Linked DNA regions of Oryzias latipes. Each later gene encodes a partner of the first gene's protein in a complex. Links are inferred from orthologs where the notes say so. Each region holds a gene or a part of one and is shown on either strand. Other genes may lie near its edges.

Evidence for each region.
Region 2: the proteins of pdzk1 (region 1) and akap10 are in contact, whole or in part, in a crystal structure (PDB 3TMH), measured with the Homo sapiens proteins. The link is inferred for Oryzias latipes from reciprocal best matches to the Homo sapiens genes PDZK1 and AKAP10. Residues at the interface, in NP_001188254.1 of Homo sapiens: Asn386, Gly387, Tyr388, Gly389, Phe390, His391, Leu392, Asn393, Ala394, Ile395, Arg396, Phe402, Lys404, Tyr436, Glu437, Val440, Ile443, Gln444; in NP_009133.2 of Homo sapiens: Pro655, Leu656, Glu657, Lys658, Ser659, Thr660, Lys661, Leu662.
Region 3: the proteins of pdzk1 (region 1) and solute carrier family 15 member 2 are in contact, whole or in part, in a crystal structure (PDB 6EZI), measured with the Homo sapiens proteins. The link is inferred for Oryzias latipes from reciprocal best matches to the Homo sapiens genes PDZK1 and SLC15A2. Residues at the interface, in NP_001188254.1 of Homo sapiens: Asn386, Gly387, Tyr388, Gly389, Phe390, His391, Leu392, Asn393, Ala394, Ile395, Arg396, Gln407, Tyr436, Glu437, Val440, Ile443, Gln444; in NP_066568.3 of Homo sapiens: Glu723, Thr724, Lys725, Lys726, Thr727, Lys728, Leu729.

The regions. Positions count from the first base shown.
Region 1 is NC_019879.2:25,365,845-25,369,344, forward strand, and holds part of pdzk1 (Na(+)/H(+) exchange regulatory cofactor NHE-RF3), read right to left. Parts: intron 2,250-3,500; coding exon 1,917-2,249; intron 1,651-1,916; coding exon 1,454-1,650; intron 1,378-1,453; coding exon 1,162-1,377; intron 1,092-1,161; coding exon 774-1,091; intron 1-773. UniProt on the Homo sapiens protein: A scaffold protein that connects plasma membrane proteins and regulatory components, regulating their surface expression in epithelial cells apical domains.
Region 2 is NC_019872.2:20,167,087-20,170,586, reverse strand, and holds part of akap10 (A-kinase anchor protein 10, mitochondrial), read left to right. Parts: intron 1-2,762; coding exon 2,763-3,248; intron 3,249-3,500. UniProt on the Homo sapiens protein: Differentially targeted protein that binds to type I and II regulatory subunits of protein kinase A and anchors them to the mitochondria or the plasma membrane.
Region 3 is NC_019879.2:4,892,525-4,894,874, forward strand, and holds the end of solute carrier family 15 member 2, read right to left. Parts: intron 2,038-2,350; coding exon 1,933-2,037; intron 1,383-1,932; coding exon 1,185-1,382; 3' UTR 501-1,184; downstream 1-500. Other genes in the region: hspbap1 (HSPB1-associated protein 1), read left to right, coding at 1-55. UniProt on the Homo sapiens protein: Proton-coupled amino-acid transporter that transports oligopeptides of 2 to 4 amino acids with a preference for dipeptides. Transports neutral and anionic dipeptides with a proton to peptide stoichiometry of 2:1 or 3:1.

The DNA of each region.
Region 1 (3,500 bases):
ACTGTTAAGTATGATGATGTTTTGTAAAAAAAACTAATTTAGAATAAATAATAAAAGGTAAATTTACATTAATTTGTCAATCCTTTTTTGTTATTTATGAATAGATTCCCTTGTTTGTAATACAATTGGCCCATTTCTATTTTAGGGTTCTTTTTTTCATCAAATATGGATTATTTTCAGTCTTCCAATTTATCTGATACAAAAGAGCAAAGAAAAAATTATACCGCTACATATTTTATACAATTTAATGAAGATATTAAAACTGAGAGGGACCCCTCAGGACTTAAGTTTGACCTATTTGGACCTAAAGGTTTGCGAAAAGAGAAATAATTGATGTTATTTGAAAGCAAATGGATTTGTATTATTCTCTGAAATGCTACAGTGATTCAGTTTTTCATTGTCTTGTTTATTCAGCAAATGTTACCAAAGTCGTACCACTGGATTCATGTTTCCCTGTGGAAACTGTGAGTTTTAGAATCGAAGGCTTCAAATAAATGTGCATCTAAATTTCACCCAAACCTGATGAAAATATACAATTTAGTGAAGACAAATATTTTGTCCTAAATAACATGGCTTCTTCAGCTTTTGCTGCTAAAAAAACATCTAAACCAGGTTCTTGGTTCAACATTTACGTTTCTTAGCGCCAGGGAAAGAAAATCTTGACCCAGTTTATTTGCTTGACGCTACGATCCTTTCAGATTAAAAGTATTTTTTCTCATGGAGTATAAGTAAATCAACATGATCTCTTCTTTTTAGATGTTACATAGACTCACCCTCTGTTTTGCAGGTTCAGCTGGACTCTCTGGTCTTTCTATCTCTTTCTTGCTGGTTTCTGGACTGTGTTCTTGACTCTTGGGTTCTTGACTCTTGGGTTCTTCCCCAAGCAGCATGCGTGTGATGCTTACTCCTTTGGCTTTGAGCTGGTCATAAACACTCTTCCTGGCCACCAGCATCTCCAGTGAGTTGCCACTCCTGCGGATCATTTCCACCACCTCCTGGTGTCCACTTTGCTCCACATTCACTCCATTTACCTCCACGACCATGTCGTCGTCCTCCAGACCTGCTCTGTCAGCCGCTCCTCCCTTCACCACCTAAAACAAGGGAGGTTTTATCACCTGGTTTTTTTTATTAGTCATGGAGGAACCTTCTTGTTAATCTCACCTCCTTGATGAACTGTCCAAACACGCCTTGAATGCCGTTCAGGTGAAAGCCATAGCCGTCAGAACTCTTCTCCATCCTACACAACTTTGGCTTCAGGTCTTCCTCCTCTTTTTCATCGGGTTGGGCCGGTGTCGCTGTGTTCATAACCTCTGTGTAACTGGGGGGTAAGTTGGAATCCTTCATCTCCTCCCAGAAGAGCATAGGAGAAACTTTCCCCTGTGACACACAAAGCATATTACTAAAGCAGTTTCTCTCACAGGACAAACACAGTTGAAGATGGAGAACAACTCACCAGTTTATACATTTGGTCTGTTTCTTGATCCACCACAAGGAGGCAGCACTCACCACCACCTTGCCTGAACATTTCCACCACCTGCTCATGGCTGCAGTTGTCCACCTCCTTGCCGTCCACTGCAACCAGTCGGTCCATTTCTTTCAGTCCTGCTCTTCCTGCTGGACTGTCTCTGTCTATGTCCTTTATGAAGTGTCCTGTATGGAATCAAGGAACAAATATCAAACCACAACTTCCTTCTTTACCCCTTAAACTTTAAGTTAAAATCCAAAAGGTAAACCAAAGTCCATGAAACCAGAATATACAATGCATGTTCTGGATGTCTAGGTATCATTTTAGGACTTTATTTATTAAATTTTTTTTTATTGGGGATGATTATTTCTGCGGTTCTTTGGAAGCACAGGCCGGCTCATATGGCTTAAAGGATTAAGCTATAAAAAACATTATATTATTGTGGCCTTGCCTGCTTGTTTGGGCTCCTCTCTGAGCACGAAGCCAAATCCGTCAGGTCCTTTAGTCAGGTTGACGAGACGCGGTTTGTGAGGGAGAAACTTGACGGTGGCCAACCGCGACCCCATTTTTGCATATTGGCTCCTGCAGACCTTGTCTGCGTCCTCGTCGAGCAGCAGAAACATAAGGGTGTTCCCGGCTTGTTTGATTTTATTCACCACCTGTTCGTGTGTGCAGTCTTCCACATTCTCTCCGTTAACCTCCAGCAGGCGGTCTTTGGCTCTGACGCCTGCCTTGTGTGCCACGCCTCCTGGGCTCACTTCTGTAATGAACAGACCCTCCTCATCTAGAAATCAGTGTAAAAACAACAACAAAAAGCAACATTTTAGCCACCATTTAGACAGAAAAAGACTTGTTGGGATGCTAGTGATACTTCACAGTACATTTCTCTTTCCACCTTCCAGCATGCTCTTTGACCTTTTCAGGTCCTAAAAATGTTTTGCAGCAGTTTGACTTTCATCATTAATACAGTTAGAAAGGCTATATGTGGATTCCCTCTCTACCCCCTAACTCAGGGGTGGACAAACTATGGCCCGGGGGCAAATATTTAATCTGGAATAAATTATTTGGATAATCCCAGGCCTGCCCAATCCTGTTCCTCAAGATCTACCATTCTGTCTGCTTTGCAGCTCGTTGCACTTTCTCCCTGGCCCAGGTGTTCAGCCAATAAGAATAAGGTGACACCTGAGTCAGCTAATCAGCAGAAAGCAGTCAAGAGAGAACTGGAAAACACGCCGAGTGGTAGATCTCATGGACCACCATTGGGTCGCTCTACATGGTGCACAACAACTTCATTGACCTTTGTTCAGGTCCAGAAACCTATTACTTTGCATTCATGTGGTGTTGGAAAATTGGTTGTTTCTCTGACATTCATGTGTGTTATTTTCCGATCGTTCCAACACGACTTAAACGCAGCATTTTTCTCAGTTTGCGTTTTCCCCTGAGGGGCATCGACCCATTGGTGCAATCACCACTAAAATTAGAACAAATAACTCCAAAAGGCTTTGTTTAGAAAAACATATACACTGAATGTCAATCATGACAAAAGCATGTTTTTGTTCAGTTTCCATGTTATTTCTATATATAATTAAGTGGATCACCAAAACACTCCATGCATCTGCTCCTGCTTCGGCCCTTCTGTCAAATTATACTGTAGAACACTTTGTGGCCCAGGGGTGAAAAAGTTTGCCCACTCATGCCCTAACTTCTAAAAAAGATGTCATGCAGAGATTTCTTGTGCCCTGGATTTGAAAAGCGATCCGAAAACCATGTGTACTGAGTAACGACTTCCCGAAGTAAAAACCTAATAAATATGAACATTTTACAATGAATCCACTGTGTTCTGATGATGAAAACTTCTTTTGTTTTGAAATGAAAAATCTTTCAAACGCAATGCATTATGGTCTATATTTGGCAACCTAGTAAGAATCGATCTGCACTAGTTTTTTGCAGAGACTTCTGGGAAATTACTAGAGCACTAAATGATGGAATTGTAGATTTGGACACCCCGAAAAAATGGCGAACACAACTATACAGT
Region 2 (3,500 bases), on another chromosome or scaffold:
TGAAGAAGGAAGACAAGAAGGAAAGTGTTGAAAGGGGCCAAACGTGTTTAGTAGAATTAACCGTGAATCAGAAGAAGTTAAAAAACATCTTTAAAATTTGAAAAAAGACACACGATGTGAGGTCCTTTAAAAATAATTAAAAAAAAAAGGTTAGTTTCTGTGGTAACCACAGAAGTGTAAATCTGTAACTTGTACGGTGGTGTGAAATCTTGCAGAGTTAATGAGCTGTGGGAGTTCACGTCACCCCTCAGTCAGACTTTGAACAAACCTCCTTCCTTTTTCCTTTGTTTAACTCCGATGCTCTTTATAGTTGGGCTGCTGGATGACAAAAGGCCGTGGAGACAATGCGCGGTGAGAGGTGGTGCGAGTCAGACAGAGGTGGAGAAACCTGTGCTGCAGCCCCGACAACAAACCGACGGCGCCTGTTTGCTGCTGCTCTGTGGTCACTTTTGTTCCATTTTTAAGCTCTATAAAGCAACAGAAGAAGACTGAGGAAGAGAAACTTCCTCCTGAACCATCCCAGGTTTCATGTAGGACCTCAGGTTTTTAGTGAAGCCCTCTCTGGAGGAGTCGGTGTTTGTGTGGCAGCCGTTCAGTGTCAGGGTGGGGTTGATTGGGATCTTATATCAGAGCAGCAGTGAGCACACCATGCTGCCAGAAACTCAGCCTTACTGCAGCAGAAGCTCCCTCATGTCTCATAAATGGACGTACTCTGGAAATTTACTGTAGTAAAAGTACATTTTCATTAAACTAGAAGTAATCCGACAAAACTGTTGTTTTATTTTCCAACTGAACTGCGATGCATAAAAAGACACGGGGCATTCTTGCCAGATCAAACAGACAACGTCTCTTGGGTTGCTGTTGTCTGATTTGTGAGCCTAAAAACACAAAGTTCTGTGAAAAGAACCTTTGACCCTGAGACCTTAAACTTGTTCTGAACTTGCACAAAATGACCTGGAGCCTCTTTGGGTCTGGAGCATCAGCGACTGCTTTCTCCTTCCTTCTTGTCCAAATGCTTCCAGGTCCTGGAAAGTCTAGGGTTCTCTTTCAGGCAGTGGTCTTTTTGGTCTCAGAGTGACAACAGCTGACTGTAATGGATGAATATACAGCAGATCGGGATTCCTCGCTGTAGTGTTGGTGTGTTTTTTCTCCATAAACATCAGCCCTAACATCATTTATGGTCTGGATCATAAAGTTCTGATATGAATTTAGAATTTTGAACATGTTCTTAACATTCTGGTTAGTTGAAACTGACCCGTTTCTTCTGTCTACTCACTGCCGTGGAGTTGCTTTCCTTGATGTGGCTTTTATAAAAAAAATACTTTTTCTCTAGAGATGCTTTCAAACAACTCGGTTTGTTTGCAGTTTTTCGTTGCGTCTTGAACAACAAAAAATGATGTTTCTCTCTGTGTGGCTCGAGATAAACAAAAATAGTTCTACCTGTCACAAGCTGTCAGTTGACAGTAGTTGGGTTTTATTTGTAGATCAGAATTGATGAAAAAAACAACAACAACTAACTACAGATCTGTGAGAGGACAGCAAATGTCAGGGACAGTTTGAGTTCCACGCCAATGGGTGGTAAGTGTGGAGGGTCGCCCTTCAGGCCTGTTTGGGCCAGCTGCTACCAGCTAGTTTAGATTATTATCAGGTCAGAACTTTAGAGCTGTTCGTGCTCACAGAAAGGATCTCACAGACAGGATTTTTTCAGGTTACTTTTACACCAGGCACGTGACGGACGCACTGAACAGGGGTCCTTGAATGTGGTGCCCGTGGTGTCCACACTGGACTAGCGGGGGGGGGGGGGGGGGGGGGGGGCTGCTTCTTTTGCTTTAGCAACTCTTTACTAACTCATGTCGGCCACCTACAGTTGGGAGAGGCTTGGTGTGAAATGTTGAAGCGCCTCCTCCAGGCTTTTTCCTTTCACAGCTTTATTCCGATATGTGAAAGACTCGGTGTCGTAGAATTCTGTCCGGACAAAAACTGCAATTATACATTTTTCTACAATGGTCAATGTTCAGACAGTTGCACTTCTGTGATTATCATCTAAATCCGGGTCCTTATTGGTCAACGTTCGACCTCGTTTAACTTTCAACGCATGTTCAACTGACGCGGGTTTTGTACTTAAAGCCCGAAAGCTGTCTTTAAAATGTGCAGAGGTACACGTGAATGCAAACGTTTTTGGATTTATAAACCAAATTAACTGGAACAGCAAATGACGTTTCTTAGCCTGAAGAACATGAAAATGTTTTGGTTCAATTAAAGCAAGTTTGTGATCAATGGAAACTATTGTTTTCTAAATGCAGACTTCAGAGCTCACCTTCAGTTCAGTGTGAAATGACTAACGTCAGCAAAGCCAGCAGATGTTTTCTTCAGGGTCACATGATCTGGAGGGGATTGGATTGATAGTTGCTGCTTTTGTAAACGCACCAATGAACAGACATATAGATGCATTATTATAGTTGATCCAGGATTGTGTTTATGGCTTTTTGTATTTTCACTAACAATATTGCCTCTAAAGTTGGTCTTAAGCCTTGTGTGGACTCAGGGTTGAAATGAGGAAAACCTATAGGAAATAAATTGTACTTTTCACAAAGGAAAAATGTACTATGGATTTTTTTGGGTGTTCGTTTTTCCATCCCTAAGGTACAGATTGAGTTTTTTATTTTTCTCTACTTCGTTAACCGTATTTGTAATTTATATGTGCATAAATATTTTTGCTGTTGTAGTTAAGTTGACCCAACTACAATTGTTTTCCCCTTCAGGTCACTCTAGTGTGAACTATCAGCCCCAGGAGACGCGCTCCCGGTTGTCCAAATCGGCGGACCAGGTCCTTCAGGACAACGTGGCGCTGCCCCACTTCATGCATTACATGGAGCAACGGGGCGCCGACCATCTGGTTCGGTTCTGGCTGGAGGCCGAGAGTTTCCGCTCTACCAGCTGGTCGCGAGTCCGAGCGCACAGCCTCAACTCGGTCAAACACAGCTCGCTAGCCGAGCCCGTCCCCGTCTCTCCAGAAGGGTCTGACCCCCAAACGCTGGTGCAGAGCACGCCTAGCGACCCCAACATTTCCAGAGAAGGTAACGCAGTAACGTCTGAGTGGCGGGAACCCTCCAGCACAGAGGCTGGGCTGAGACCTAGCACGCCGCGAGCAGACACCCCCAACAGGCAGGCGACCTCCAGGGCGGGGACGCCCTGTAAGGGCCAGTCCAGCAGCACTCTGCGAGATCTGTCTGACAAACTCATGAAAAGTTAGTAACGCCTTTGCAGATCATTTCATGTTTTTTACTGCTAAAAATGGTACTTAGAATTATGATCAGCATGTAGGATATGTTGATAAATAGGTATAAAATAAAAACTAATGATGAATGATAAAGATAAAATAAATGATGATTAATGAAAAAGTCCAAAACATGAGAATGTCTAAAATTCAATCTGAAAACATTTTAATAGAGAAGTAATTTACCAAAACTAACTTTAAATTTTAACTACATCCTTTTATG
Region 3 (2,350 bases), about 20 Mb from region 1:
GATCGTCGGCCGTGTCACAGAGCTTCTCTTGGAAAGGCACAAAAATCCGCTTTGATGCTCATCTGCCAAAATTTACTTGAAGAAATCCCTTCCAGCCCAGTTTCAATCCAACTAAATATGCCTTAAATGTTTTCTTTTCTAGCCCCAGGTCCACAAATGGACCGCAGATGTTCAGACAACACAAGCAAACCATTAAGGAGCTCCAACATTTCCATCTCTCATTATGCTAATCATGTTTGGAGCACCAAGAACTAGAAAAATGACCACTTGTATCACGTTTGTATGCTAATAAAGCGAGCAATTGCATATATCATGTTAGTGAGGCTTGCATTTGTTCCCTGGACTGTCACAGGGCAGACGGACGATCATATTAATGTGATTCATTCTACTTTGTTTTGCAACCCAGGCACAAAAATCAGGGGAAGTTCTGTCAGTTTGTGCTGAGTTTTTCAAGTTTGAAGGTTCTAGATGGCATTTAAAAAACAAAAAAGAGGACTAAATGACATTCCAGTCACATTTATTTACATACATATACAAGGTTTGTTTATATGTCTCGTTTTGAAATCTTTACAAGCTTTTTCTGATTCAAAGCACACCATTCTTCATCGCATTTCTGCCCAACAGCAAAAACGTCCCCGTCCACCATCAGATGGAGTCTGCTTGAACAAGAATTCTCTGACACAACCAGCTGAATAAATGTTTTTTTGTGTTTGTAAGTAAAATTCAAACTCCTCCTAATGAACGGGGAGGTTTTGTTATTCTGGAATTGCCTAAATCAAACAGTTGCTAATATCAGTTAAGCCCCGAAGAAATTATTTCTCAAAGGAAACTGAATTTTAGATTTTCTTGCAAATCTGTCCTCAAACGTTATGTTACATCAAAGCTTCATGAAAAATATGCGATACATGTTGTAAAATCATCAGTCAGATGCTGTTTGTCAAAGAATAGCCTATGATTACAATTTTACCTAAAAACAAACCAATATACAACATAACACATAGGAATGGCTGTACTGATCAATCTAAAAAAGATCTTTTAAACTTCTCTTGTGCTGTCCTTCAGAATTTATTTACTGAACTACAGGAATTGTCAAGCAGCCGTGTCACATTAGGTTTTTAAAAAAAAATAACACCACGACACGAGTCAAATTAAAACAAAGGTGCTTTAAAAAAGGTAAGAAAATTTTACAATTTGGTGCTCTTCCCAGTTTTGTCTAGCATCATGCTGCTCTTCTTCCCGTCACCCTCATCTTCTTCCTTCGTGTCCTCCAGGTTAATCTTGTCCATGTTTTCTGGCTCAACGTACTTGTAGAAAATGGACATGACTGAGAAAATGATGCAGACGCCCAGCAGGAGGGCGGCAAACAGTACGAACTCTTTCCACTGAGGAGACAGAAAAGGTTCTTGCTTATGGAGCTGCTGCTGCTGCTGCTGCATGCAGGACGGCAAAAGAACTTATAGGGACATCATGGTGTCCGTCAAACCCAATCTTTAGAAAGTAAAAGAGCCTTGATTCAAGACAAAATGTCTCACCGACTGGCAAGAAAAATTGTCTTATCCAGAAAGTTTTTTTTTAAAGCAAAATAGTTGGAGAAACATGTCTTAGAGACTAAAAGCCTTTTTTTAAATAAGAATTCTTGGTGAGACCCTTTTTTCTTAGCCCATTGGCAGATTTTAACCCTTGTGCTATCTTAGATGACCCCACCCTTACATTGATGTGTTCTCCCTACCATGATAAAGGTGGAAAGATTTCATGTAATCCATGGACACCAGTGAAGATCACAAATCATTGAAGAAAAAAGGTCTAGAGCACTGTCTAGTGGGTCTAGATGACCCAACTCCCAATGTTAAAGTGCCTAGGATAGCACAAGGGTTACAGAAAATTTGCCAATGTAAGAATTTTTTGACTCATTTCTAAGCGACCTGTTTGTACCTGTTCCAGCCCCGCCCCCTCTGCCACAATCAGCACGATCACATTCCCAAATGCAACGGTGAGCAGCCAGCCGGCCTGCAGGACTGACTTCATGTTGGATGGAGCCTGAAAGAAAAAACCAAACAAATCCTGCTTCAGGAATGTGACATCAGACCCGATCGTTTGAATGCTGCATAAAAGGAATTTCTGAAGATTTTTGCACATCTTGCAAGGGGTTAAAACTTCCTCAAAGTCCCCCACTGTTTATCTTATTTAGATATATTTGTTTCTCGTTATTGTTTTACTTTAGACTGCAGTACATATATGTTCCTTTCATAATAAAATACACCCCGTCTCAAATAAGATCCTCCTGCTGAGGCAGATTAACTTGAATTGAAAATGAAGGTAAGTCAAACATGGCATTTCTATCATTAGGACT